4 linked regions of the Pelodiscus sinensis genome follow. The protein of the gene in region 2 purifies or fractionates together with the protein of the main gene of each other region. This does not show direct contact. Links are inferred from orthologs where the notes say so. Each region holds a gene or a part of one and is shown on either strand. Other genes may lie near its edges.

Region 1 (7,518 bases), on a different chromosome or scaffold from region 2:
CTCAATATTTGTCATTAAATATCATGTGACATTTTTTATTAATGTGGATATACTTGCCCAAGTATTCCAGATTAAATTCTATTCGGCTAAAGTACCTAGAATTCAGTACTTCTAAATAAAAGCAACACATAAAAACAGGGGATTCCATTCAGATTTTAGCATAATATTGTATAATGGTGCCATTTCTTGAGCAACAAATGGCAAATCTAGTATTTCTACGTGGTATTCTTAAGCATCCCAAATGAACCTAAGCTATTTTCCCCTGATCAGCTGAACTGAAAAAGGGTCAGTGCTATCACCTTCACTTCACTGCAGTCCTCAAGGAAGGAATCCACACTTGACAATTCCTCCTTCTCACCTCTCAACTGTTGCATTACTCAATACAAAAAAAGCAAGCAAACCACTTCTTGGAGAGCTAAATGTGCATCTGAACTCCATTAGAGAAACAATTCCACAGACAAATGTATCAAGGTTATGCAGTAAACACATTTGATTAGTTTCTTTATTCAAAATGTACTAAACAAAGATTTTCTGTTCAAACAAATATTTGAGAAAAAAACCTGGAGGCTACAAGCTACGGACCTCTAATAATTCTGCAAGTGGATTGTAATGCACTCTAAACTTAATAATTAGTATATGTTTTAACTTTTAATAGCCATTACTCTTTGGTTCTGTGTTTAACAAAGAAAACCGGTATTTCCTTTTTAAACAATAAAAACAGGATCAGAAATCCAGATGACATACACACCAAGAACAAGAAATGTGGCATTTAGATCATTCAAGAAATACATTAATTTTGCAATTACCTCAAAATTCTCACTGACTTCTTGCATCATTTTCAATTTTGTTTCATCGGCTGAAAATTCACAAATTTGAGTGAAAAATTAAATATATGTGACAAAAACCTGACAAATACCAAACATTCACAGGTAAAAGAAGCAATCAGATCTTATCAGTTTAGCTATCATTGCCCAGTTATAAATCACACATTTCTCACAATCACACACTTTCATACTCACATTTCATACTCACACACTTCACTCTAAGGCTCATGTAAGTAATGCTCATCATTTTGCTTCTTCAAACAATCAAAGATAAAGAAAATGCAAAGTGAACTCCATTCAAATTTACCAACCAACTCTGTAGACAATATTACAGAACTCCCTGAAGCAAATGAGTAAAGAATCACATTTCCTTAAGAAATGGAAAATAAACTTACGAGTATTAACATCTGTTAGAGCAGCCACAAACTGGAGGTATTTCTTCATCAAAGTGGTTTGGTCAACCACGGTGGGCCCTTGCGTTGAAACAAAGGCCATTTTTGTTTTGGACCAGACTTGAGTATATTAAAAAAAACTGAAAAAAATCAGCCCACCTACAAAAATAAAAAAACATTGTAAATATGACAGCTTATTGGTGATTTAGTCCTGTGACATCTTATTTTAAAGGGGCACCATCAATTTAAAAGTCATATTTGTCATATTTATTTACATACAATTGCAACTTATATTCTAATTAACTGAAATAAGAGAAAAAAAGGTTACTTCATCTTTTACAGATTTGCATACTGAGTTTTCCATTTTCTTTGTATGGGTCTATCAAATGGCAACAGGGGAGAATAACAGTTTAAGGGTTAGGAAAATACAGTGATAAAGGCACACAAACTGGCATAGGGAAGTCAGAAGAAGATACACAACATAAAAAGTGTAACAACATATTTTAACTTGACTAGATTTCAAATTGATAATGTCCTTTTAAGTACCTCTCAACAAGGTTTCAGGGTACCTCAATCAAGTTTTTCCACAAACATGATCTGAGTTCCTAATATGTAAAAAGAACTTCAAAGCAGTAGCGTCTCAGTTGGTTTTAGTTTTCATTGTGTTACAGACCTTTACTGCTGACCTCATTTCACAATCCATGTTTATTTTCTATCATATCCAACATCTTAATTTGATTTAGCTTTCAAATCAATCTATGTTTCAATAGAAATACACTGCATTTTTAACTACATCTTTCTTAATCTCTATGCAAATACTGATTGTTTAGGCTAATCACAAAACCTCTCTGTTCCTCAGTGCTTCCTTAGCTGTAAAATGGGTAGTTCTGTAATCGCAAAAATGTCACAGAACTTTACAGGAGTTTTTTGACATTTTTGTGATTACAGAACTACCTCGTTTACAGCTAAGGGAGCACTGAGGTTTTGTGATTAGCCTAAACAGGAAGGCAGCTCATGACAGCACTGGAAATACAACCTTGAAGTCTCAGCTCCTCTCTATCCTTACCTTCTCTGTCTTGGTGGCTCTCTCCTGATTGAGGGTGCCACTTTCTCTTTGACTGGACTCCATCTATGCTGACCCCATTCCAGCTAGTGCTCTTGCTCTGTAATTGTGTGAAACCAGTTATGGATCTTAAAGATGGGCATAAAGGTGATATTGCATCTCCCTCTACCAACCCGGGTTTGCTCTGAGGTCAAAGCCCTTGGCATCTGTGCCCTCTCCCCAACCTTTCAGATCAGATCTCCTGACCCTCCAGCCTTAGATCCCTAAGCCCCACAAGCTAAGCCTCCCCACCCCTCACATCCTTTCCCTCATCCCCATCCCGATACTCCAACGCCAGACTCCTGCCCATCACCAGCAGGGCAGTCTCCCCCAGCGCCCACTACCAGGTCTAGGGCGCCCAGCTCACTCTAGGGCAGGGCTCCCCCACACACACACGCGCACCCCGCTGTAGGGCAGCCCCCGACAGGGCCTCTGCGGGACTTGCCTGCGCGGCCCCTGCAGACACACACCCCGACCCGCGGCCTAGTCCCCGAGCTCCCCCCACCGCCGAGTCCGGTCTCTGCCCCGCAGTCCGCCCCGGGCTTTACCTCCCTGCGCGGCCTCCTCGCTCGAGAGCCCCTCCTTTGTCGCCCTCCGGCCTGAGCCCGCAGCCGGGCGCGGCGCATGGGCCCCCAACGCACGACGGAAGCCGCCGGGGTTCAGTTCCGGCCGCCGCCGCTGCCTGCGAACGGCTTCATTCCCCGCCCCCGCACGCGCATCCCCGCCCCGCCAGCATCCCCCCGCTCGGCCCCTAGTCCGCGCGCGTGGGTGGCCCCTCCCCCTCCCAACAGCGCGCCGGTCACGGTCTGAGGGGGGCCCCGGCTGGGCGCGCTGCGAACCCTCCGCACCACACGCGAGAACCGGGCTCGGGGATCCCTTCCGGCCGCAAAGCGGGGGGCGCGGCCGGGCAGCCCAGCAGCTAGCGCCGCAGGCAGAGCGCCCAGACCCGGCCTGGCTTGTCCATTAGCCCCGCACCAGCCTTTACCCTCGGCCCTTGCAGCGGGCCCGGGCAGCGCCCTGTAGCGGGCCCCGCGGGAGCTCCCGGGCAGAGCGGCTCCCAGCGCGGAGCATCCGCCCTGCTGTGAAAGCGACAGGCTCCCCGGGCTGTGTGCTAGAGCGGAGGCTTCACAGCCACACGCGCTTGGCTCTCAATGCCGAGACCAAAGATGCCTCAACAGATCGGACACACACAGCTTTTCCCACTAGAAACAGGAGCAGGGAGGAGACGGGGACAGCTGAATGAAGCAAGAACACGGGATACAGAAAGTCAACTCCTGGAATACCCTGTTGGCCTGTACTGTGTATCATCATTTTTACCCCGCTCTTTGGGTGAAGATCCACAGACTGAGATATCAGTATATATTCTTCCATAGACCTGTACTGGACCCAACAGCTGGATTTTAATGAAAGCAACAACAACAAAATTCTCCCTAATTTGTTTTGAAAGACAGCTCTACTGGTTCAGTGGCTTTTGATTAATAAGCCGGGTGTAGAACAGAAAATAGAAGGGAATAAAGTATAAACGTTGGAAGATGGGTTGTGGAAGAAGTATTCCTGGATAGCAGTCAAGTTCAGAAACTTTATTTGCATGACAAACTATAGAAGTGTCATCCAACTTAGCAAGGTATACTGCAAGGAGCAATTAGTTAATAATAAAGTAGCTATTTCATATTTTGTGCTGTACCCATCTCTCTCAATCTATGCTTTGTACTATACTATTGTACAATAAAATATTTTTATTAAAAGCAGCTAATCCACCCAGCCTGCCATGATTCTCCAAAATCCTAGTGTCATCTAGTTTGTATGAAGGATCTCATGCAAAATAAGGCCAAAACCTAGGTGTTTGTATCTCTGCATGGGAGTAGTTCCAGTCTATTGTATGAGTCTAATTGCATCCAGAGACTTACAAGTTTTCAAGATTGGGGTCTTAAATGTTATTGGTTTGCACTGTGTTATGAGTGTATGACTCAAATTCATTACTCATCTGTTTTAGAAAGATTTTTAAGGCAGCATTTTTCTTAACCATCAGGAATATGATACAGGATTTGGGCAGACTACGTCACCTATTTTCTAATGGAATATTAAGCCCTACAGAAATCAGTCTGTTGTAACTTTTAACGTGGTGTTTTATACAAAAATCTGCAAGATACACATGGCCACGCATACCAAAATACATTTATTCTATTACCTTGTACCAGAAAACTGTTTTCAAAATTTTTGCAGCTGTAGGAGCTTTTCACTAGCACCCCCATAGGGATTTTCTCTGCCTCCTTTTCTAATCCATTGGTTTATACAGGTGTCTAATACAACTTTTCTAAACTAGTTAGGCGTGGGCAGGATTTGCCAGGAAAAAAAAGCAAGAAAAAAAACCCAGACAGTGCAGTACATCCACATTGCCTCTAGGTGACAGCAGTAGTGACTACTTGCTACCCACCTCCTCCCGGTCCTGGAGACAGAGTGGAGCCCACTTGGAAGATGAAGTCTGGCTATCGGAGCTGAACAGACAGTAGCAGTTTTCTCGGGGCACTGACTACAAATGGCCCTGGCTTTTTTCACCCCGAGCATCCTCCAAGTGACTTGCATGGTGCTGTTCCTTTTCCATTCCAAGTCAGCGGCAGGTAAGGTAGATCTGCGCCTTTCTCAATCCAGGGCTAATGAGCCAGGGGTCATTAGAATTCAGCCCTAAAAAGCAATCTTATGCTGCTGTAAACACAGAATGAATATTTATTTCCAGGCAAGCCCAAAACCAACTGAGCATTTCTATGGTTTTCCTGAAAATAAAATACTCTATCTGCATTTTCAGCAAGGTTTGCAGTGTCATATTTCTCCTATATATATATATAGAGAGAGAGAGAGAGAGAGAGAGAAGGGAACAGATTAAATGAGAGATCTTTTTGCCTGCTGCTAATTTCTGCAGTGCTAGGTTTCTGTGGAGAGTGATAAAACCCTGCTCTGAAACGAAGGGGTATAGTTAAACCTCCTAGCTTGAACATTGGTTATTTATAAGGAAGACTTTGTTTTCTTGTTCTGGGGTGGATTGTGTATTCAGGATCCTGCTTGAATAACTGGAGCAGGTGTGAAGGAGCTGCACCCCAAAGGGACATCTTCCCGTGAGAAGCTAGCAATAATGAGTAAGTTCTCTGGCAGAACAAAAGGGGGGTGGTGCAGCTATGTCTGCCCTTTTCCACCCACAAACCTCGATCAGATGATGTGGGAACTGCCTCTTCATGGTGAGGCTTAGTTAGCAACTCTGGAAGGAAGGGATCTCAGACAAGACTGAATCTATCAGCTCCCTTCTTTATTTCCATCTTGATTGGGATGCAGTGAAGCATCTCTGCTCCCTCACTGCTGTTAGTCACAAATGACTAAGACAGCTTGCCCCTCCTCTTGCTCCTTCCTAGCTTTGCTGTGTTGCATCTGAAAAGTGAGCCAGGAGAGCTGGGTTAAATACTTCATTCTGCCACTGATATATTGTGTGACCTTGAGCTAGCCACTTAATCTCCTTCCCACTCCGTTATCTTATTCAATATGTCCCCTCCCCAGTGTCTTTTTTAGATCTGCCACTGATTTCTGGTATTTTCCCCAATTTTTGCTGTAGCAAAATGGACAGTGAACTAAGTGCAGATTTTTAAAAGGTCACCTTCAGCAGGAATTTCAGTCTTTCTAGTTTTGCACCACCTACTACTCCCTGCCAGTGCACAATTTTTTGGATTTTCCCTCCTTTTTCTCATTGGCCTTCAGTGCAGCAGGACCAACTTTCAACCACACCGCAATTTAGGATATAAATGTTTCCTTTAAATTGGGGTCGGAGACTGGTTCTTACCCAGGTTGAGAGAAGTAGAAAAAGAAAAGGTTAGTGGAGAACCATAAAACAAAGTATGTTAACTTTGTTACACATAAGGCTAAAGGAAATTTTTTTTCTTGGGTTTAATAAGGAAATACAGGAATGAAATCTGTAATTAGTTTTGGACACTAATCTTCAGTCCAAAATTGTGCTAAGAAAAACATTGATTAAAGGAAAAATGTAGCCAGCAATGACTCTATTTAAAATTTGAGCTCTGCAGACATGCATCAGAACTGCTCACCCAAAATGTTTTCTCTGCACTGAAGTTGTGGTCTTTTTGGTTTTGGTTTTTGTTTTAAATGAAGCAGGAGTGACTTGAAATGGAGGTATGGCTACAAAAGCCTGACCCTAACAGGAAAAGTGAATAAAGGGATTCCCTGAGCAAAGTAATATGGTATTAACTTGTACAGTATTGTCAACTTCAAGAGATCTAAAATCATGAGTTGGACCCCTAAAAATCATGAGATTGGCCCAAAAATCATGACTTAAAAAAAGATTATATTGTTTTTTAATTCAGTCTCTTAATGTTTGAATTCCCTCTGCCCTCCCAAGGGGGTAGCATGTAACAATTAGTGTTGCCCTCTCTCCAACTTGCGTTGTATACGATTATTTTGACTCCTGCTGCAGGAGCTCTCAACCCCACATCTGCCCACCACCTGCCCAGCAATTATTCCTGTTCCCCAGTTCCCCGTCAGTTCTCTCCCCATCCAGTGCCCTCAGTTCAGACCCACTCAGTTCACTTCCCCAGCCCCCCATCATCACCACATCAACAGTTCAGCCACCCTCCCCCATCAACCCCACCACAATCAGTCCATCCTCCCAGCACTCATCCATCTGCTCAGAACTCACCATCAGTATGGGCCCTCTACCCCATCAGCCCTCACGCTCCTCACTTCACCGCCCCCCCTGCACCCTTCTGGCATAGTTCAGTCCCTCTAGTCTCATCTCTGCATCTTTTCACTCTCCCCATGCTTTGGGGTGGGAGGGATAGCAGTTGGTCCCCTCACCCACTTCGCAGGCTGCCATGGGAACTACCACCTACAGCTAACAATGGACTTCTCAGCCGCCAGCGGCTGACAGCAGGAGATCACCCAGCCCGGGCAGAAAAAAATCCTGAGATTTGAGAGTTCAATCACAAGATCATGGGCAAGACCTATTTTTCTTTAGAAATCACGTTTCTCATGATAAACTTGTGAGAGTTGGCTTGTCCATTCAACTTGTGAGCTTCAGTTTCTGGATTGTGCTGAAAAAGCCAGAGGAAGAATGCTTGTTGTTTTTGTAGGTTTAAAGTAAAACTGGTCTTGTTTCAAATGAACGACTGACTCTGACATGACTTGCCAAGCCCAAACCATCACA
Region 2 (7,560 bases):
GGACTTCTGCTACCTCCTCCTCAGAGACCTGATTCCACTGCTTAGCAGACCTCATGCTGAGAGAGGTTTTCTTAGTCTTCAGTTTGGCCTTCAACACTAGAGTATATAAACATCTCCCAAGGATTTAAATAGAAGTAATCTCCTTCCTTATTGTCTTCCTTCCTTCTTGGCCTGCAGAAGCAGCTTGACTAATGGGTAGGCTTGTCAATGTGTGGAAGGCTTATTAAGGAATCATCACCGCCCAGGAAAGATCACATTTAGTCCTGAAAGCGGTGAGGCCCAGGGCATGAAGTTCCCAGTCCAGCTCCTGTCAATGTCCTGGCCCCTTCACTCATAAGCTTCCACTTCTTGCTTACCAGTGCCCTGCAGCTGTTGAAGAACAGGCTGATCATAAAGGGAGAGGTGCCTCTCTGGTAGGTAGGGCCAGTCTCATGGAGGGCTTGGAATATCAGAGCACAGACTGTTCATGGGGCAGCCAGTGCAGAGAATAGACCATTGGGGAGTTCTGACATCTACGGGCCCATGTTGCTGCATTTTCTGAAAGCTGAAGCTATCCCTGGCTCTGCCAGTTCATTCCTAGATATGATGAGTTGCAGTTACTGAGCCTGGAGGTCAGGATCATGTGGCTCTATGGCCACGTTTGCAGGGTAAGATTCAGGTTGTGAGGGGCCTAAGATTAAGGGGAGCGAAGGGCCTAAGTATGAATTACAAATTGAAAAAAATAGTGAGAGGTCCTGTGGCACCTGGGGACTAATCAAAATATACAGAATCCTGAGCTTTTGTGGGCAAAACCCACTTCATCCAATGAATTGGAGTGGAAATAGCAGAAACCAAGAAGTATATATTACAGCAGAAGAAGTATCTGTAACTTGTAGGACCCGTGTTAATGAGGCTAACTAAGTGGGCTGGATGTGTCCCATTAATAGCTTTTGATGTGAAAATGCCCACATATCACAGCCGGCTACGAAGTGAATTTAAAATCCCTGAGAGAAACATTGTGTGTTGAGCTTTCTCCAAGGATTTTGCAACCCCCTTAACAGCAAAAGTTGTGTTCCCCTGTGGAACTAGGCAGAGCAAAAGGGAAGAATTGGATTTCCTGTGCATGCCAGTACAGAAAACATACATCAAAGAAAAACAATTGGATTATTTTTTTAGCACAGTTCAATACAGTATTGAAAACAGTGCATCATAAATCTGAAACTCCTTGGTGAAAGGCTGCTGTAAAAGTCAGAGCGCTGGTATCCAGAGTGGGAGGGTTGGTTTTTCTCAGTGGGTGGGAATTCGTTCATTATACATGGGATGAGGGCAGGGGCCATAGTTCAGGTTGGAGCTGGATGGAGTGTCTATAGATTCTGTGCAAGATTCCCACTGCATTGGTACTGCCTTTTCCTTGTGCCCTGCTCCTCCCCACCTGCCACCTCTAGGCACTCACCAGTTGCCCAGAAATGGAGCTAGCACTAGGACCAGGAGAGAGCGTCCTGAAGCTGTACTTGCCTGCCAGTCTCAGCGGGGAGGGACACAGGCCTAAACTGGGTAGTCTTGCCCTCTCTTCTTCCCTCCTGCTCCCCCCCAACAGCCCAGCAGAGCTCTGGAGAAATGGAAGATGGGGAAACAGGGAGGGGAGAGACAGTGCCTGCTCAAACTACACCCACAGCAGGCACAGGTTCCCATAGTAACCAGACCACGTTTTTAATCTCCGTTTACCACTGTTAACCTGTCCTGCAGCAGCATGGGGACAGACAGAGCCTCCAGGGAACCCGGGAAGCAAGGGACCGTTGCCAGCAGCCGGCTGAGCTCCTGCTAAGCTCCAGGTGCTGCTTTACTTTTCCTGCTGGCAGGAGTGCTCCCAGGCTCCAGCAGGACTACCTGAGCAAACTTACTCCACCTCTCTCTCCTGCCCTGGCCCTGCCCCCTGTGTGGCCTGGAGGGCCTAACGCTATAGCCTTATCAGCCTAATGGTTAACCTGGCCTTGCAAGTTTGTATCCCACAGGGCAGTGGTCTCCAACCTTTTTAAGCACAAGATCACTTTTTGAATTTGTCAGTACAGGATCTACCTCAAACCCAAATAGCCCTGCCCTGCCCCTTCTCTGAGGCCTCGTCCTCTTCACTCTGTGAAGATGGGGTACAGGAGAGGGGGGCGGAGTAACATAAGTGCCCCCTGCCTCTGTCTCCCCCACCCTGCACAACAAGTAGACTCCTAGGGAGTGGCTCCGAGGCTCTTGGCAGGAGCAGCAGGGCAGTGAGAGGAGGAGCAGCTGACATGCAGGCACTTGACAGCCTCCCAGCCAAACCAGTCAGGATCCCCTGTCAGAGGCTCCAAGATCTACTGGTAGATCTTGATTGACTGGCTGGTGACCAATGCCGTATGGTGTGGCATTGTTTTGTGACTAGGCACAGAGGGAAGCAAGTTTTGCCACCAAGCCACTTTGACATCCAGTAGTACTGTGAAGTCTGAAAGGCCCCAGTGGCTGAAGGCAGATGTAATCGGAGGGCAGGTGATCATGTTTTAAAGGGAGATGTTAGAGGAGTTAAATTCTTCAAAGCACTCTGCATGTCCTACCAACATGATTTCCATCCTGCCTGGGGTCAGCACTAGCCAGTCTCTCTATCCAGGAGCCGACCTTGGCTAGGCAGTGGGGAAGTTGCAAGATGGTGCTGTTCGATGTGAGAGGCAGAGATGGGTATCATCTGTGGGTTGCTGGCATACGATAAAGTGGCACTGAAGGCTTTGGAAGTGGAGAAGCAGCTGCTTGTGCCACACTGGGTTTGTTCTGTGGGAAGATCATGAGCTGTGTCGTGGCATTGCCATGCAATCCTACAGCTTCTTGGAGTGAGCTGCAGAAGTGTTTGGTCAGCATCAAATTCCAGCAGGCCGAAGATGGAGATAATCCTTTGTCTATGGACAGGAGGAAACCATCCACCAGAGCCACAAGAGTGTATGGGCAACATGGTCTGTCCCGGAGGGGAATCCAGCATACTGGCAGCCAACACTGAGCAATTCCTCTTCAGCCCTGTCCTGAAGCCAGATGTATTGATCAAACAGGCTCGGGTTTGGGTGGCTTTCCTTTCAAAGATTTTTACAGTCTGCCCCAAAAGGCAGCTTTATGGAGAGCCCCTAGTAGCATTAGCACGGTCAAGTTTCAGATCCAGCCTTCACAGCTGCTGCAGCTCTACTATTGGCAGCAGTGGTGAGAGCTACAAGGTAGATAGGGGGGCAGGAAGTTTTATCATCTAGCTCTCCAGTTTCTCCCAAGGGTGGACAAGGCCTGGAAGGTTGGCCTCAGCCCAGATATCAAAGGAAGAAACTGATTCTGAGGTAGATTGATTTTTATTACAATTAAAAACTCAACCCTCTGCTAAACCGAATTACTGAAAAGCAATAGAGGTATAATGAAAAACTTTGAAAAGCATGTGACTTGCAACCAGTTCTATCCATGCACCTGTAATGCTGCTCCTTGTCCACAGGTATGTGGGGGGGGGGGGGCAGATGTATCCCTATGTGCCCACACATATTTTTGAAGTTCTGTATTTTTTTACCCTCAGTTTCTATTATTGAACAGACTTTCATGGAGATTATAGCTAAATTGCTGGCATACCATCCCTGAGTGGAGACCTCTAACCTAATCTAGCCGAAGCCTGAAGAACACACTGTGTAGAATGTAATTAGAGTTCGGAACTTGGAGAGTGGGTGTGAAATGTGGGGGCAAGAATAGCAAATTGAACTTTGAGAACGAGGACTCCCCTGAGAGGGAGCGGATCTGGATCAGTACCTACCCCCTCGGGAGGTATCCATGTGTTACATACAGTGTTATATAGTTGTACTATGTAGCTATTACTCATGGATACCTCCCGAGGGGGCAGGTACTGATCCAGATCCGCTCCCTCTCAGGAGTGTCCTGGTTCAGATCCGGGCCCCCTACAAGGAAGGGGAAAGGAGAAGGGTGTCTGCCCCCTGCAAGCCGGGCAGGGTGTTTCTGTCCGCGGACACCCCCTCCCCAAACAGCGGGAGTGAGGGGAGCAGAGTCTGCCGGGCCTGGTGCCGGGGACCCAGCGAGCAGAGCGGCGGGGCGGGGCGGGGGCTGCCAGATGGTTTCAACAAGCACACGGGGCACACGTGCCATGACGTCACAATCGACATCCCCTCTGAGTTGGAACACACCGGAGCGTTCTATTGTCTGTCCCCGGCCGCGCGCCGGACACCTGGCAACCGCTGTGCCCGCGGGAAGGGGCGGGGCGGCCGCGCCGTGGGAACAGATGGGAGACGGGCGAGGCGACCAGCCCCCGCACCTGCCCTGGCCGCGGCGTCCCCCAGCTGCGCGCTGATTGGCCGCCCCCCCGCCGGCGCAGCCGCTGCGATTGGCCGGCTGTCAGAACGCTGGGCTCGTCACCGCGGCGCCTCGCGGCCGTCCGGGCCGTAGCCAATGGCAAGGCGGAGCGGCGCCCCCCGCCCGGCGCGGCGGCCAATGGCGAGGCCGCTCCCCGCCGGCGTGTGGCGGACGCAGCCAATGGGAGCGCGGACGCGGCGCTCCGGCGGCTTTCGCGGCAAAAAGGATTTGGCGCGCAAAGGCGCGCGGGGCCGGCAGCGGCGGGGACAATAGCCGGGCCGGGCCGAGCCACCGAGCGGCGAGCGGCGGCCCCGGGCAGGGGCGGAGGCTGCGGAGCGCGGCCCGGCCCCCCCGAGCATGGGGCGCGGCCCCGGGCCAGGCCCCCCCGGGCCGGCGCCGGGCCGGTGAGCGCCCCGCCATGTCTCGGGAGGGGCCGGGCGGCGGCGCCCGCGTGTCCGAGCTGGCGGCGCTGCTGGGGGGCGCCGGGGCCCTGCACGCGATGGAGCAGCAGATCGTGATCATCTCCACGCCGGACGCGCCGCCCCCGCCCGAAGCGGAGCGCGAGGCCGAGCTGCTGCTCTTCGCCACCCCGCAGCCCCCCCGCCCGGGCCCGGCGGCGCAGCGGCCCGCGCTGGGGCGCCCTCCGGTAACGCCGCTCGGCCGCGGGGCGCTCCCGCCTCGCTGCGGGGGGGACGAGGGGGGAGAGGGAGTCGCCCCCCCCCCCGGGGTCATGGGCTCCAGCCTCACGAGCGTCCCGCGCCCTGGGCTCGCTGACGGGCCACCTGTAGCCGGGGGGGGCAGCCCTGTCTGGTGCCAGATAAGGCTGGGAGCTGCCCGTGCGGTGGCTGCAGCTCTCCGGCTTCCGGCTTCCCGCGATAAAGCTCCCAAGCGAGGGAGGAACCGGTAGTAATGTGCGAGCCAGGCCTGGCGAGAGCCAGGCTGCCATTAGCGTGTGCAGAGCAGAGCTCTCTGCCTTCCTGGCTCAGCATTTCTGCTCCCAGCTCTTCACCAGGAGACATGGGCTCATAGGGGACCTGTGAATTCTGGCTTTGAGATCTCCGCTCTCGCATCACACACAGGAGTGACCTGCCCTGCTTCAGTGGAGAGGAATGGGGATTGGGCATAAAATATGCAAATACATTAATAATAGAGGGGGAGACATACACCAGTCATCACAATGTCTGAAAATTGTACTTCAGAGCCAAATCCACTGTGTGGATTGTGTCTCTAGACACACTTCTCAGATTATTCTCAGGTCTCAGTGTGTTGTGATGATACTTTAATGACTGTGGCAGCAATCTGCAGGATAAAGTTAGTCTTGTGAAATTCTGCTTGTCCGCGATGGGAGGGCGTGTGTATACATGCTCAGGCATGTAACTAGAGCCCTGCGCAGATACAAAATTTTGTATCTGCATCTATAGATGCAAAAATATGCTGAGGTTATCTGCATCCACATCCACAGCTATCTGTAAATTTGCAAGATTCTAGATACGGAATCTTCAAGAATGGGCCGTGGACATCAGCATTCACATCCACGGATGCAAATACCTGTGGGTATAAAGTGGGTATCTATGGATTTCCAGGGCCCTACTTGTAACTTCTAAATAATTGTTAGGATAAACTCTGGAGCAGGTGTTGTCTTCTAGTGCATCTGCATGAGAGGGCTTTCATTGTGATTGGCACCTCTGGATGCTATTGTAGTATAACAAATACTGACTGCTGTGAAGTATGGAGGGCTGACCTTTGCATCCATGCAGACACCCATTGTGTTCAGTGGGGCTCCTGGCAAGAATCTGCCCTTGTAGTTCTTGGTGCAAAATCAGGGTCCCACAAGGCAAGGCTGAACCGGAGCCTTCCTTTCTTTTGGTTTCCCGAATTTGTTTTCGACACATACGCACGGGTCAGACCAAAGATCCATCTAGCCCGGTACTCTGCCTTCCGACAGTGGCCAGTGCCAGGTACCCTAGAGGGAGTGAAGAGAAACAGGTAATCATCACGTGATCCCTCCCCTGTCATCCATCTCCAGCCTCTGGCAAAGGCTGGATAAATACGTAAATAACTACCACCGGCAATTAGACTGAAGCGAAGTGACAAGGGCTTGCATTTCTCCTTCATCATGGCACAAACAGAACACTGTATGGGATCCTTCTTGTGCACTTGGAGATTATTTTGAGCCATCATTTGGCATTGGCCATGGTCAGTGAATGGATCCTGGGCATAATGGGCCATTGTCCCAGTATAACATCCCCAAGCTTTTAGTTCAGTCGAAAGTGGGTGGGGGGAGGAGGAAAAGACCACAACATGCTTTGATAGTTAAACATACCATCTTCCAGAGGCTTGGAGTTTGAGGGGCCGGCGGCAGCTTTACAGCTGATCCTTTGTTTTAATTGTTTGGCTCAAGAATCCATAATGAGCCAAAATTCCCTGTTTGCTGTCTCCCTGCTTGTGGGGAGTGGGTGGTTGTGCTGGAGGCGCTGCTGGTTTGCATGGTTGGAGTGCGGTTTCATGGAGACGCTTTGCTGGTGAAACCCTGAAACCTGAGCTGCTTTTCTCCTAACTGTAATCAGCAGCCTGGTACCCATGGGCAGCTCTGCACCTGCACCTCTGGCAGGGCTGCAGCCTGATGTTTGTGGGCAGTGAAACTCTAAACACCCTAGTGTGCATGAGCAAAGAAAGGGGGCAGAATTATTGTTCTGAGGTCCCCTGGGTGCTTTTCAGCAGTGCACTGGAATTTAGATAGCTGATGGTCAGCTGTCTAGGGCAGTGTGAGCAATAGCTCACTTGCTCCACGATCACTCAAGGTGAGATACTTCCCTCCAGATACATGTCACTGGGCCTTGGGGCGGGCGGGAGGGAGGTCTCGAATTCATCTGTTTCTGTGCTGTCAGACGGTTTCCTTCTAGTAATAAAATAGGCCCCAATGACCGAGTCTCCGCCTCCTTCCCAAATGTCTCCTTCATGAGCCAGATCCTCTTGTACTAGAGGCAGGGTAGTAACCATGCACAAAGTCTTGAAGTTCTCTTGTCCCTGTGGTCCCAGGCAGATAGCTGGAATGCTGGTCTGAGCTGGCACCAATGGGTGATCAAGTCAGGCACTCCACTTGGGGTTATCCTGGAAGGTTCTGATCGCCGGTTGGTGCGTAGCTTGGATCTTTGTGAGCATGTGAGCGGCATTGTGACGGCTCGTTCTTACGAGTGCTGCTTGTGTGAAGCAAGTGGGTGAAGTCTCCCATCC
Region 3 (7,355 bases), on a different chromosome or scaffold from region 2:
CGCCGAGAACGCTCCCCCCCCCGCACCTTGCACGCCGAGAACGCTCCCCCCCCCGCACCTTGCACGCCGAGAACGCTCCCCCCCCGCACCTTGCACGCCGAGAACGCTCCCCCCCCGCACCTTGCACGCCGAGAACGCTCCCCCCCCGCACCTTGCACGCCGAGAACGCTCCCCCCCCGCACCTTGCACGCCGAGAACGCTCCCCCCCCGCACCTTGCACGCCGAGAACGCTCCCCCCCCGCACCTTGCACGCCGAGAACGCTCCCCCCCCGCACCTTGCACGCCGAGAACGCTCCCCCCCCCGCACCTTGCACGCCGAGAACGCTCCCCCCCCGCACCTTGCACGCCGAGAACTCTCCCCCCCCGCACCTTGCACGCCGAGAACTCTCCCCCCCCGCACCTTGCACGCCGAGAACGCTCCCCCCCCGCACCTTGCACGCCGAGAACACTCCCCCCCCCCGCACCTTGCACGCCGAGAACACTCCCCCCCCGCACCTTGCACGCCGAGAACACCCCCCCCGCACCTTGCACGCCGAGAACACTCCCCCCCCGCACCTTGCACGCCGAGAACACTCCCCCCCCCCGCACCTTGCACGCCGAGAACACTCCCCCCCCCCCGCACCTTGCACGCCGAGAACGCTCCCCCCCCCGCACCTTGCACGCCGAGAACGCTCCCCCCCCCGCACCTTGCACGCCGAGAACGCTCCCCCCCCGCACCTTGCACGCCGAGAACGCTCCCCCCCCCGCACCTTGCACGCCGAGAACGCTCCCCCCCCCGCACCTTGCACGCCGAGAACGCTCCCCCCCCCGCACCTTGCACGCCGAGAACGCTCCCCCCCCGCACCTTGCACGCCGAGAACACTCCCCCCCCGCACCTTGCACGCCGAGAACACTCCCCCCCCGCACCTTGCACGCCGAGAACACTCCCCCCCCCGCACCTTGCACGCCGAGAACGCTCCCCCCCCCCGCACCTTGCACGCCGAGAACGCTCCCCCCCCGCACCTTGCACGCCGAGAACGCTCCCCCCCCGCACCTTGCACGCCGAGAACGCTCCCCCCCCGCACCTTGCACGCCGAGAACGCTCCCCCCCCGCACCTTGCACGCCGAGAACGCTCCCCCCCCCGCACCTTGCACGCCGAGAACGCTCCCCCCCCCGCACCTTGCACGCCGAGAACGCTCCCCCCCCCCGCACCTTGCACGCCGAGAACGCTCCCCCCCCCGCACCTTGCACGCCGAGAACGCTCCCCCCCCCCGCACCTTGCACGCCGAGAACACTCCCCCCCCGCACCTTGCACGCCGAGAACACTCCCCCCCCCGCACCTTGCACGCCGAGAACACTCCCCCCCCCCGCACCTTGCACGCCGAGAACACTCCCCCCCCCGCACCTTGCACGCCGAGAACGCTCCCCCCCCGCACCTTGCACGCCGAGAACGCTCCCCCCCCCGCACCTTGCACGCCGAGAACGCTCCCCCCCCGCACCTTGCACGCCGAGAACGCTCCCCCCCCCGCACCTTGCACGCCGAGAACGCTCCCCCCCCGCACCTTGCACGCCGAGAACGCTCCCCCCCCCGCACCTTGCACGCCGAGAACGCTCCCCCCCCCGCACCTTGCACGCCGAGAACGCTCCCCCCCCGCACCTTGCACGCCGAGAACGCTCCCCCCCCCGCACCTTGCACGCCGAGAACGCTCCCCCCCCCGCACCTTGCACGCCGAGAACGCTCCCCCCCCGCACCTTGCACGCCGAGAACGCTCCCCCCCCGCACCTTGCACGCCGAGAACGCTCCCCCCCCGCACCTTGCACGCCGAGAACGCTCCCCCCCCGCACCTTGCACGCCGAGAACGCTCCCCCCCCCGCACCTTGCACGCCGAGAACGCTCCCCCCCCCGCACCTTGCACGCCGAGAACGCTCCCCCCCCCGCACCTTGCACGCCGAGAACGCTCCCCCCCCCCGCACCTTGCACGCCGAGAACGCTCCCCCCCCCGCACCTTGCACGCCGAGAACGCTCCCCCCCCGCACCTTGCACGCCGAGAACTCTCCCCCCCCGCACCTTGCACGCCGAGAACACTCCCCCCCCCGCACCTTGCACGCCGAGAACACTCCCCCCCCCCGCACCTTGCACGCCGAGAACGCTCCCCCCCCCGCACCTTGCACGCCGAGAACGCTCCCCCCCCGCACCTTGCACGCCGAGAACACTCCCCCCCCCGCACCTTGCACGCCGAGAACACTCCCCCCCCCGCACCTTGCACGCCGAGAACACTCCCCCCCCCGCACCTTGCACGCCGAGAACACTCCCCCCCCGCACCTTGCACGCCGAGAACACTCCCCCCCCCGCACCTTGCACGCCGAGAACGCTCCCCCCCCCCGCACCTTGCACGCCGAGAACGCTCCCCCCCCCGCACCTTGCACGCCGAGAACGCTCCCCCCCCCGCACCTTGCACGCCGAGAACGCTCCCCCCCCCGCACCTTGCACGCCGAGAACACTCCCCCCCCCCCGCACCTTGCACGCCGAGAACACTCCCCCCCCGCACCTTGCACGCCGAGAACACTCCCCCCCCCGCACCTTGCACGCCGAGAACACTCCCCCCCCCGCACCTTGCACGCCGAGAACACTCCCCCCCCCGCACCTTGCACGCCGAGAACACTCCCCCCCCCGCACCTTGCACGCCGAGAACACTCCCCCCCCCGCACCTTGCACGCCGAGAACACTCCCCCCCCCGCACCTTGCACGCCGAGAACACTCCCCCCCCCGCACCTTGCACGCCGAGAACACTCCCAGCTTCTCCAGCTTCTTGGCGCGGGGAAGCCCCGCACTTGGGCCTTGCGCTGGCTCGCGCGCTGCTGCTGGCTCAGGCCGGGCCGCGCCGGGTCGCTGGAGCCCGCGGGGCCCCCTGTGGGGCCCGGCCCGGCCCCGGAGGCGGCCGGGGGGGGGCGGCGGCGGCGTCCGGCCGGGCTGCGAGGCCTCCGGCTCCGCCATGCCGGGACCGCGGCGTGCGCCAGGCCGCCACTGCGCCTGCGCGGCGCGGGGTCTGCTGGGAGACGTAGTCCCTTGGCCGGAGCTTCCCCTGCTCCGGGCGAGGCCGTAGCCCAGGCCGCCAGTGCGCCTGCGCCGCGCGGGGCTGCTGGGAGATGTAGTCCCCGACTAGTTTAGCCTGCCAGGTGTTAGTGAGGGCTAGCCCTCTTGGGGGACCCCAACAGAGCACCCCCTTGTGGGGTAAATCACCTCTTCCACAGAGTATACCCCCCACACTGCAGGGGCTTATACAGAGTAAACTCATTTTACCAACCCCCCCAACTGTGCGAACCCCCCAATAACGTGGGAAGAGGGAGGACTGGAGGTTCCCACCATGTGGGGTGCAGACCTCCCAGGAGGGTGCGGGGGGGAGCCCTAGCTTCCTGCTCTGACCCCATCAGGAAGTGTGTCACCATATGTCCTATGTGGTTTCCGGAATAACCCCATTCCGACCTCCACCCCCCCTAAAAAAAAAGTTGGAGTATTAGGATATAGCTATTCAGGCTGGTCTGTTACTAGGATTTAGGGTTGCCAAGTGTCTGGTTTTTTATTTTCTAAATGATGTAATGTAGATTGTGGTGTAGTATTTTTGTTTAAACCATCTGACAACCCAACTAGGGATGCCAGCTACTGTCAGAAAAATACTGAACATGGCAGGGGAAAAAAATGTGGTTGAGCAAAAACAAAAACAAAACAAAAAAAACCAGGAGACCAAAGTTGTTGAGCAATAAAACCCCCAAAAACAAAAAACGCACCAAAAAAAGAGGTGCTAGGGTTTTAAATTCCCTCGCTCGCCGCTCCCTCCGCCCCCGCCAGACGCAGCAGGGGAGGAATGTCCTAAGCAGCCTGCCATCTGAGAAAAACAGAAAATACCGGACATTTTACGTGTCTGATATTTTCTCCTTTTTTTACCAGACAGCGGCCGCAAATATGAGACTGTCCAGGCCTTGTTCTTAAGCTAAGGCTTTTGGCTAAGCAGCAGGAGAATCCATAAACTAGGAAATGTGCAGTCACATCTTGATCCACCCAAACAAATCACATTGAAATAAGGCAATTCTGTGCTGTTAGAAAGGCCGTCCAACGATCATCTCCAGATAAAGGAAAGTGCAAAGAAGATTTAAAGGAAACTTAGGTTGATAGCTTTCTGACCAGCAAGGATCCACTTATCAATAGTTGGGGTTGTGAAATCCCCCTCTCTCTATCATTTATCCGGATGGTCTCTGTCTGGTTGTTTGATTGCTTTTGTCTGCTGTATAATTAACTTTGCTGGGTATAAAACAATTACGGCGGTGAGATAATTGGTGAGAAAATCATGTTACAATAAGTTAAGATTGATTTGTTATCTATCAGTAGAATGATTGGGTAAAGTATACCTGAAAATATTATTATGTGCAGTGGGGACAAACAGGAAGTAAGAGGGAAAAAACAAAGGAAGAAGGGGGGAAAAGGAAAGGAAACTGGATTCGTGCTTGCTGGAAGCGAACCCCAATAAACATGAAATTGTTTGCATCTCCGGGCTTTGAGTATTGCTGTTCTCTGTTCACATGAGAAGGTTCAGGGAAGTGGAAGGGTGAAGGAATAACCCCTCTAATAGACAGTATGGCTGGAGCGCCCCCCATATGGGTGGCAGGTAGTGTAGGCAAGGAAAGGCATTGCCTTCCCAAAACTGTTTACAATGCCCAGCCACCTGGGAGGGACCAGGGCCGTGTAGTGCAGCAGCCCAGCTCGCCCGTGGCTGGGGAGAGCTGAGGCCATGCCACACAGTAGCTCTGGCTCTCAACTGGGGCGGAGTTTGGCTGGGTGGGAAGGTTGTTGACGGGGCATGGACTGGGAGCAAAAGGTGTGGCTTCGGGATGAAGGGGCGGGGCTTCGGCTGCCTTCCCCAGCTGGGCCTTCACCCATGCCCCCAGCCCCACATCCCAGAGTGAAGCCAAGTGCCGCAGCCCCCACCCAAAGGTGCACACACCAGTGGAGTCACTGGAAGCAGGGCAGGGCTTCACATGAGTCTCCATCCAGGACCGCTTTGGGGTGCAGCAGGGGTCCAGCTGGCCTTGGGAACACTAGGGGCTAGAGATACAATACTGCACTGAGCTTGCTGGCGTCACGCAGGCACTGGGCCTTTCAGGAAAACTCTGGGGTTGGGGCCTGTGACGTAGTGGGGGTACCTGGCTGGTTTCTACGCTGCTGGCTCTGGGGGAACCCCCATTGGCTGCAGTTGGTACCACGGCCCAGCAAAACAGGATGAGTCATTATGCAAAGGGTGTGTCAACCTGTCTGACCAGCCACCCCCCATGGAGAGGAACTAAGGAAGGTGGATGCTGCCCTGGCTGGGGGGCAAGGCTGGAGGAGAGTGAGTTAGTTTCTGGCTGGGAGCATGGAGGAGGCAGCCTCAGCAACAGGCTGGGGGGTTTAGAAGCCGAGACCCCCTCCCATATCAAGGGGGGGCTGAGGCATCCTAGGCCTGCCCTGTAACCTGATGACATCTGTGCTGTGCTGTATCCTGGAGAAGCAATAAACCACCTCTGTTCTACCGGCTGGTGGAGCCTGTTCGTGCCATTTCGGGGTGCAGGAGACGGGAGCCCCAACGCGTCGTCACAGGGCCACAGCTGGTAAGGTGAGGAGAGCTGACAACCCTGTGACTAACAGGCTGGCACCAAGGCTGTGGGAAAGGGTCTGTCTGCCAAGGACTCATTGTTAGGCTGGGGGCTGTACGAACCCTCTCTCTGCTCAGCCCTCCCAGCTACCTTACAAATCCACTGACCTGCAGAGCAGCTTTCTAGCCGTGTAGCCACGCCCACCCCCCCGACAGACTCCGAAAAGGTAGGCTGGCAAGGGTCTCATTGGTGACATCTGGCCCAGCCCCCCACGCCGAGGCAGGACCAAATAAATCCAGACCATCCCTGAGAAGTGTGGGGAGGTTTTCAAAAACAGATCAGACAGGTCTTAGAGCGGGAACCATCTTAGTCTGCCACTTTTAAAACAACTAGCCGTCCTGTGGCACCTTAGGGACTAACAACATGTCGTACCACGAGCTTTCGCGGGTAAAACCCACTTCCTCAGACGAGCCGGAGTGGAAATAACAGAACCAAGAGATTTATAACAAGGGCTAGGAGAAAGTACCTGTCAATTGTAGCGCCGGTGCTAATGAGGCTAATGAAGAGGGCTGGACGTGTCCCATTCTTAGTTTTTGATGTAAAAATGTTAGCGGCAGAGGAGACTGGCTTCCTACTGCAACATCCAGCTGGGAATTCTACCACCACCTCTGCTCAAAGATTAGGCATCAGGAAAATCTTTCTGACGCCTCTTTTTAATCCCTTCCTCCCTAGTTCCCCTTTGTTACACTGTTCCCACCACCTGCTCAACATTTCCCAGCCTGAAACTGCACAGGGCCCTGATGCTATTTCACTCCCATCCTCACCCAACCAAACACCCAGGACTGTTTTCCAGGGCCTCGCGATCCCTGCAGGTCTCCTGTTTTCTCTGAACTACACCAGCGTTTCTCAACCAGAGGTACGAGTACCCTTAGGGGTACTTGAGAGAAGCTGGGGGGTATGTCCACACAACTGAAATTTGGAGAAAACTGATTTGTTGTTGTAAGTTTTACAGCGCTTTCTTATTTTTGTACTTTTTACACCCAAAAATTTCATCACCCGCCTGGCTACGATTAAGTTGTTTAAACAAATGTGTTGCAATGATAGAAAAAAATAGTGTGTCTGAAAACCGTAGGTCCTGCGGGTACTTATAATACTTTTTTAAAAAGGGGTACTTTATAAAAAAAAGTTTGAGAAACACTGAACTAGAGCCTGCACTGAAGCAGAGTCACATCACCCACTGTAGAGTCTGTTAGAGCCCAAAAAAGGTTTCTAGAAAGTGCACTGCCAATGGACCTGGGGGAGAACAGGTTTATTCCAGGAGCAACACAAACCAGAGAGACGTAGAGAGAATCGTCACCCAGCAGCACAGCCCGGAGCCAACAGGGAGAGGGGGACACTTGTGTTGTCTGCTTAACGAAGCACACGAGATCTTTTATCGGGGACAAGGCAGTACGCCGCGTTTATTGAGAATACAACAGCTGCATATGCTTTTCAATCACTCACATACAAACATACACACAGTCTTGCCAGACGGTGTTATAGTTACCAGTCCCGATTCTGTATCAGTCTAGTGGCCAGCTAGATTGAACACAGAGGGAGAGCAGGGCCTTTGTTGGTCGATGGAGCCGATGCTCCTCTGGAGTTGGTGGCAAGACGAACCCAAAGTTCCATAGCAAAGCACCCGCCTTTTATCATCCTTTTCTCTGTTGAAATCCATGGATTCCGCTGTGTCAGCCCATGACCCGAGTGT
Region 4 (7,462 bases), on a different chromosome or scaffold from region 2:
ACTGTAATGAAATCACCTCTTAACCTTTTCTAAATAGATGGAGCTCCTTAGGTCTGTCACTATAAGGCATGCTTTCTAAATGTGTAACCTTTCTTGTGGGTCTTCTTTACCAACATCCTCCTCGAACTGTGAACAGCAGAGCACTGGGAGCTCATGTTCAGATGATTATTCACTATGGCACCCACATCATTTTCAGAGTCACCATTTCCTGGAATAGAATTCCCCATTATATAATTCTGGCATTCTTTGTGCAGAGAAATATGGCCTTTCTAATAACTTTGTCTCTCCCTTTCCTGCCACTACTGTTCTGTGAAAAGCTCACTGTTAGATGGTAGCATTGTTACAGCTCATGTCTTCTTCACCTGCTACTGCTCTGAATAGTTCATTGTCAGGTAGGCCTCTTAAGGGTCCTGCATCATGTAGGACATCTCACTTCTCAGCACTTTTCCTGACCCCATCTCAACTGGCTAGTTGTCTTCACAGAAGTTTTTCTTTCTTAACTTCTCCCAGCATATACTACCACCAGGGCAGCTGCATGAGTGCTAGTGATGGTGGGAGAGCTAGAATAGCCTGGCCACTAGCATCTTATCATTGTGACATCATGAGCGTCCAGTATTATAAGCGGGAGAAGACTCTGCTTTCCCAAATGGCCAACCTGTCCCCCCCCACAGTCCCCCCCAGAATACCTGCTATAGGCGTATTGGGGGCAGAGTGTTACTGCCCCCAGCACCCACCCTCCCAGTGCTCCTGACCTGGGATGCTGGAGCCACTCCACCCACTCTTCTCCCACTCCATGCTCAAGTGTCAGGGAGGTTAGAGACATGCACCCTTCTCCCTCCCTGTGCTTGGGGGCTGGGAAGACTGAACCCACACATCCTCCTCCCTCCCCTGTGCTCCAGGCCGGGGAGGCTGCGGCATGTGCGCCCAGACACCCTCTTCCCCTCCCCATAGTGAGGGTCGGAGAGATGGTTTGGCTCCCATGAGTGGAGAGGGGCTCAGCTGAAGGGGTGGGATTGGGGGCTGGAGCTGGAGGCTTACCTCCCCCAGCCTTATCTTCACTGACCACTCATGTGTGATATCTAGATTTCTTCTGACCCAAATCAAGATTAAAATGCAGTAGCTGGACTGTTCTAGTGCTTTTCTATTGCTGCCAGCATTGGAACTGCACTGTTGGTTTTACGGTACTGCAAGAGAAAGTAAAATGCTTAGGTAGGCACAGCCACTGACTTCCATCCAATGCATGTAGCTACACTATGAAAACATGTATGCTTTGTTCTGCAACTGTCCAGGAAAGGGATTAGAGCTTTTCCTATTGTGGTCACCTCATACCTATGGTGGAAGCCATTCTGAATTGCTTCAGTATCTGTGGATCAAATTAACACCACTTCAGCCTGCACTAGTGTAAACAAAGCAGTGCAAGCTGTAATAGTGCAGTACATACAAATGAGGCATTCTGTTTTGGGGAGCACAGAGTGCACCATGTCCAGGGCATAGCTGTTACTTCAAGGATTACAGCAGGGGTTCTCAAACTTGTGATATCGCGACCCCCCTCTCCGTTGCTGCAACCAGCCTCTCAGTTGCTTGCGATCCCCCTCTAAGTTGCTTGCAACCCCCAGGGGGTCAGGACCCACAGTTTGAGAAATGCTGGATCACAGGGTTTTATGCACATCCATATTTGCAAAAATGAGCCATGGATAAATGCATCCACATCCACAGTTGTGGATATCTGTGGATATAAAGTAGATATCCATGGATTTGCAGGGCTTTACTTACTGATGCTTAGAGGAGGAGCTGTACCTGTGATGCTGCAAATATTAGCTCCCACTGGCAGCACTTGTGTGGCTGCAAGCCGTGTGACAGGCAAGCTAGAGGGTTGTAATGGTCCTGGGAGTATCAACATTCTGTAGTACAAATAATTCCCTTTCAAGTCACCTCCAGCCTGTCCTTGTATTACATGTGGAGAGAATAGAGTACCCCTCAGAAGGAGAGGAGACCTGACAGTGATGTGATAGCACCAGTAGCATGGCCACACTGCTGGCACATGGAAGAGGAGGAGCCAGGAGGGAAGGGACAGGGAAGAGCAAACTTTGGGAAGAAGTGTGAGACAGAGAAGGAAGGGACAATTGAGAGAGACAGGAGGAGGGGAGAGGAGGGAAGCAGATGAAAAACAATGGGGGTGAGGAAGAGGAGGATGATCCTTGTTCAAGGAGAATTTGCCACAGTGTAGCCTTGGCAGGATACAAAATATGTTGTTGGGTGATATTATGATGACATTTTCAGGGAGACTGTGACCTCAGAGATACATCATCTTCTTCTCTTCCTCCTCCAGTATGTGCTAGACAGCAAAGGTACGTCAGCCAACCACCTTTCCTGCAGTCATCCTATTCTTATTTGTAATAAAGATTACTTTGTAGTGCCCACAACCATAAACAGAGTTTCAGAGCAAGCTCAGGAAAGAAGGGCCTGTGCCCCAAACAGTTTACAGTTGAAGTGACTGCGATGACAGGTAAGGGAGGAAGGAGCACATCCTGGAGAAAGGAGAGGAATGACACAGGTAAGGAAATATGCTCATACGGCTCTTCCATTTGTATTCTGCATTCTTAATAGTTACACAAAGATAACATTTGTAGCTTTTAGTTTTCATTACAAATCAGAGATTTGATCCTCAGTTTAATTAGTGGCATGTACACAACTTAGAAAATATGTGATTCATGCGTCTCCTTGCTCAACCATATAGCCAAATGGTAGCAATAGCAGATAAAGCAGGGCTGGGCAAATACTGGCCCGCAGGACAGATCCAGTCTACCAGGATTAGCCCCTTGCAGGCCCCCTCACTGCCATATTTACCTGCACCTCCGCAGGTACAGGCGATCACAGCTCCTGTTGGCTGCGGATCACTGTTCACGGCCCAGGAGAGCTGTGATCTCTCCGACCTAAGGAGGAGGGGCAGGTAAATATAGCGGCAGCGGCCCCCCAGGGGATAGCCCATGTGAACCATCACCGTTTTATTGCCCACCCCTGAGATAAAGATTAACTATATGCTTTACCAGTATTGACCAGCTCTAAGAGTAACAGCAGTAAAACAATACCCAGAACTAATATGTTTACTGAGACTGTGGTGAATTGTGCAATATTAGCCTGTGGCTTCAGGCCCACAATCCTATGGTCTGGCAGCTTGCAACACTTACATGTTTAAGTAGCTTTGCTCATATAAGTAGTCTGTCAGAAGCCAAATAGTCTACATTTTATAGTAGTAATCCACTGGTCCTCAAACATAAACTGCTTAGCAAATATATTGTTTCTGCCCCTTTGCTTCTCTTTAATAATGACGTGACATTTTTCCTCACATTTTAAAGTGTTGTTTTTCTCTGCTTTATTTTTATATTTAAACATATCAGCAATATCAGGTCTTTTCTTCAAAGCCCTGGTGTTGCATAGAAATATCACAGTAGGCAGGAATCTTAAGTTTTCTCATTGCTTTCCCACTCAATTTAGGGCTTAGAAAGCTGTAACACAGTTTCAATATACTGTGACCTCACTATTTCTCTGCATTTCTTCAGCCCTCCTGAAGAAATAGGGAAGTCAAGACCTGATATTTCTGATGTAGAAAAAACAAACAGGAAAAACATGAGTTAATCTTCAAATATGAATAAAGACAATAGGACACTCACCATGGACATGAAAACACACTTATTCTGTTATGAAAGTGTTCACATGAGGATTTATACCAATATAATGATACTTGTTTAATCATATCAGTATAATTAGTACAATTTTCCTATGTAAGTGTATCCATCAGTGGGAAAACAAGGATTTAAGTACATTGATTTAAAATCTGATTTTAGTTTAACCAGAATGTTATTGTGCATAACCAAGACTGTAAAACATGTTACCCCCTATTTAGCTTGGAAATTCCCCCCATTTACATCAGGCCTTTTTGATATCACCAACTCTTTTGATCGGTCAGTTCAAAATATGCAGGCTGCAACAGAAGCATGCAGAGAGCCCCCTAATCACAGAATCTGAACAATACCCAGAACTTTTTTTTTTTCATATGTGCATAATATCAACCTCCAAAAGGGTTTCAGTAGTAGGTTCAAATCTGGGTCCTCTGAAGCTTTTAAATGCACTAGCATGTTAGCTTTTACTGCATGAGCTGAACAACACTTTGTTTTAGCGCAAGCCAGTGATTCTCAACCCATTTACCATTGTACGCCACCCACGGCATGTCTACATTGGGGAGTTACAGTAAACTTCCGATAATCCGGCACCTTTAGGACCCAGGGGGTGCCGGATTATCAGATTTGCCGGACTATCGGAAGGGGGGGGCTATGAGGGGGTCTAGGGTGGTGTGGGGGGAATGCCACCCCAGACCTCTCATAGCCCCCCCTTCCGATAGTCCGGCTCTGCCCCCGGCGTCCCTGATTCAGCCGCTGCTGGTCAGTTTCAGCAGCAGCTGAATTGGGACGCCTGCGGCAGAGCAGCTGGGGTGCTGCCAGGTTGGTCCCGCAGCGCCAAGTGGCGGCGCTACTGGACCAACCCGGCAGCACCCCAGCTGCTCTGTCCCAGGCGTCCCCAAATCAGCTGCTGCTGAAATTGATCAGCGGCAGACTCCAGGGCTTCCGGGAGACAGCCGCTGGTCGGTTTCAGCAGCAGCTGAATCGGGGACAGCTGGGGTGCTGCCGGGTTGGTCCTGCAGCACCGAGGAGCAGCGCTACAGGACCAACCGGCAGCATTCCAGCTGCTCTGCCCCCAGCTTCCCCGATTCAGCCGCTGGTCAGTTTCAGTAGTGGCTGAATCAGAGAAGCCGGGGGCAGAGCAGCTCCAATGGTCCGGCTGCCCGGAGCACTTCCGGGTTCCTGATGGTGCCGGACCATCAGGAGTGCTGGACCAATGGAGTTTTACTGTATTTTGAAACCACTCCCCTTATTCCAAACTAATAAGGCGAGCATCCACACTACCAAACCCATTATTTCAAAATAATGGGCTTTTTATTTCAAAATAATAACTCCTGCTTGTGAATAGGAATAAGCTTATTTTGAAATAGTTATTTCGGGAGTTTTTATTTTAAAATAACCTGATAGTGAGGACATAGCCCTAGGTAGCTCTCTACCTGTTATGTGAGCCACATCCAAACTCTCTCTCTCTCTATATATATATATATATATACACACACACACGTACACTATCTGTATGGCCCTGAGCATGTCACATGGTCCAAGCTGTGGGCTGTTTGTGCCACAGGGCTGAGAACCACTGGCCAAGGCTGTAGTGGGCTCATGAATCTTTATGACAGGGCTACTCAACTTTGGAAGCCCCAGGGGACACAAAGATACAGCACATGCTGAGGGCTGCAATTTAAGTGTGGTTGCATTTGCATGCAAATATATATGCAAATAATTTTTTTCACACTGACAGGCTTGAATACAAAGATTAAGCCTTAAGTTGCAGCACTGAACCCAAACATAGCTAGTATGAGCCAGTCAGCACCTCTCAGGCTCTGCCCACAAGGCTAAGCAGCCAGCACCTACAATGTCCCAGTGCTCCCAGCACCTCCTCCCTGAGGGCTAGAACCGCCAATACCCTGTATTGTTCCAGCCAGCCCATCTGCTTGCATTTTTCAAGCTCACCCTGCCTGGGAGACGCCTCACTGTTGTGCTGCATGTTCCCAGTGGAGGCCATGTTCAAAGAATCCCACCTGCAGGCCACGTGTTGAGTACCCCTGCTTTATGGGCCTACTCACCACCAGAGAGGGACAGAGCACCACTTCCAGCAAGCAGGGGTTACATGGACATTTATTTCCACTGTATAGAGAAGCTTTCTGTACATATTTCAGTGAGGCACAATCTCCCTCATACAAATCGTTCCTGCAGCCTGAGAGCAAAAGCTACTGGTCTGTTAGTCTGCAGAGGGAGAATACACATTATGATGTTAGAAAAATATTAAGTGTTTGCCAATATTGTAGCAGATGTTACTGATCACAGATCGGGGTGTCCACATATAACTTTTAAAATGATTTTTCCTGCCTCAATTTAATCAGAGGCAGAGGCATCTTAAACATATTGGAGGGTTTCTGTCAGGTGGTGCAACTCCCCCAGTGGGGACACTGCCATTTAGCGCTCCCAGTGCTTGCTACCTCCAGTGGCCACTATGACTATAGCGTCCATCTGAATAGCCCCTCCCTTTCCATTCCCTGCATATCTGGTTTTCCTGGCACAACCAAACCCTGACTGTGCTTTAGGTTAGGAGAAGAGGAAGCCATATACCAAATTTGGTGTTCCTAGCTCTTACCATTTAGGAGGAGTTCTTGAAAAAACAGATAGAGATGCAGAGACAAACTGTCTCCAATATATAGTATATAAGTATTCATACATACGCAGCACGTATGTGTATTTACTAGATACAATGCTACATGCTATAGTTAGCTGTGCTATACACAGCACTTCTCAGTTATTATACTGTACCTATCAGGACTGTATCTGAGGACCAACATACACAAGAATCTATTTATCTAGAGAGGCAATGCTAGACAAGATGTGTTTTTTATACGTCACATTACAGTAATGTAAGCACAGGAGGGAGTTTAACTGTTTTGTAAAACCATCTGCATGATTTCTTAGTCATTACACATTATAAGCAGAGCTGGTTGTGCCACCTATAGATAAGGTTGTTTGTCACTTTCCATTATAAAATTTTGTTTTCACTTATAATTTTGCCAAGCTTTAGCTGTTTGAGTGGATTTTTTCCACACTTCAGGCTGATTTAATTTAATTTAATTTTGTGTTTGTTTCCAAGAATAAGATTTGTTTCATCCATTAAACAAATTCGTATGTGTTTTATTCAAACACTCCTGCACCCTCGTGCTTTGAAGCAGCTTTGAAATTTTCTGGGAAAGTCACCCTGGTGTGAGATGTGTGCCTTTAGCCTTTCTTATCAAATCTGCCCAAACCTGTCAAGCTATACGCCTCTGAAAAATCTCAGTTCACACATGCTCAGTAGAGACTTTATTAGTGATTGACAACTAAATTCCCTGACAATTCCATCAACGCTGAACATGCTATATCCTGGAGCTGCATTGATTGAACAAAACTTTCCCTCTCTGCAACTGCTGATCCAGTAGGTTCAGGTCTTAAATCTAAGAACAGGGAGACTCTCTCCCTCTCTTCTCTGATTTCAATGTCCCCCTTCTGGTTCACAGGCAGCATGGAGGAATGAAGAAAGGACAAGAGCTGGACCTCCCCAAGCAGGGGAAAGAGTAGATTAAAACAAGGACTGGCTGGGTAAGGAGACTCTGACTGGTAGTGTGAGGAGACTGCGGTTATATGAGGTAGAAATTGGGACTGGCTGGGCAAGGAGACATGGAGCCAATGTGGGGAAAGACTAAGACTCTACAGCCAGGTGGGAACTGGAACAAATTGCCTCAATAGGAAACTGGGAGACAGGGTTGGAGAAAGATTGGAAC

Evidence for each region.
Region 1: the proteins of E2F1 (region 2) and TRRAP purify together in Homo sapiens (affinity purification with western blotting; 3 studies listed by BioGRID and IntAct, with this or other methods). This does not show direct contact. The link is inferred for Pelodiscus sinensis from reciprocal best matches to the Homo sapiens genes E2F1 and TRRAP.
Region 3: the proteins of E2F1 (region 2) and KAT2A purify together in Homo sapiens (affinity purification with western blotting; 4 studies listed by BioGRID and IntAct, with this or other methods). This does not show direct contact. The link is inferred for Pelodiscus sinensis from reciprocal best matches to the Homo sapiens genes E2F1 and KAT2A.
Region 4: the proteins of E2F1 (region 2) and KAT2B purify together in Homo sapiens (affinity purification with western blotting; 5 studies listed by BioGRID and IntAct, with this or other methods). This does not show direct contact. The link is inferred for Pelodiscus sinensis from reciprocal best matches to the Homo sapiens genes E2F1 and KAT2B.

What each region holds. Positions count from the first base shown.
Region 1 is NC_134726.1:24,279,315-24,286,832, reverse strand, and holds the start of TRRAP (transformation/transcription domain-associated protein), read right to left. Parts: upstream 3,015-7,518; 5' UTR 2,867-3,014; intron 2,380-2,866; 5' UTR 2,283-2,379; intron 1,376-2,282; 5' UTR 1,320-1,375; coding exon 1,220-1,319; intron 857-1,219; coding exon 807-856; intron 1-806. Other genes in the region: TMEM130 (transmembrane protein 130), read left to right, coding at 4,855-4,936. UniProt on the Homo sapiens protein: Adapter protein, which is found in various multiprotein chromatin complexes with histone acetyltransferase activity (HAT), which gives a specific tag for epigenetic transcription activation.
Region 2 is NC_134728.1:34,324,849-34,332,408, reverse strand, and holds the start of E2F1 (transcription factor E2F1), read left to right. Parts: upstream 1-4,550; 5' UTR 4,551-4,744; coding exon 4,745-4,972; intron 4,973-7,560. UniProt on the Homo sapiens protein: Transcription activator that binds DNA cooperatively with DP proteins through the E2 recognition site, 5'-TTTC[CG]CGC-3' found in the promoter region of a number of genes whose products are involved in cell cycle regulation or in DNA replication.
Region 3 is NC_134739.1:9,356,830-9,364,184, reverse strand, and holds the start of KAT2A (histone acetyltransferase KAT2A), read right to left. Parts: upstream 3,010-7,355; 5' UTR 2,976-3,009; coding exon 2,754-2,975; intron 1-2,753. UniProt on the Homo sapiens protein: Protein lysine acyltransferase that can act as a acetyltransferase, glutaryltransferase, succinyltransferase or malonyltransferase, depending on the context.
Region 4 is NC_134712.1:191,345,471-191,352,932, forward strand, and holds the start of KAT2B (histone acetyltransferase KAT2B), read right to left. Parts: upstream 3,014-7,462; 5' UTR 2,999-3,013; coding exon 2,848-2,998; intron 2,555-2,847; exon of another isoform or gene 2,421-2,554; intron 517-2,420; exon of another isoform or gene 363-516; intron 243-362; exon of another isoform or gene 228-242; coding exon of another isoform or gene 89-227; intron 86-88; exon of another isoform or gene 71-85; coding exon of another isoform or gene 25-70; intron 1-24. UniProt on the Homo sapiens protein: Functions as a histone acetyltransferase (HAT) to promote transcriptional activation. Has significant histone acetyltransferase activity with core histones (H3 and H4), and also with nucleosome core particles.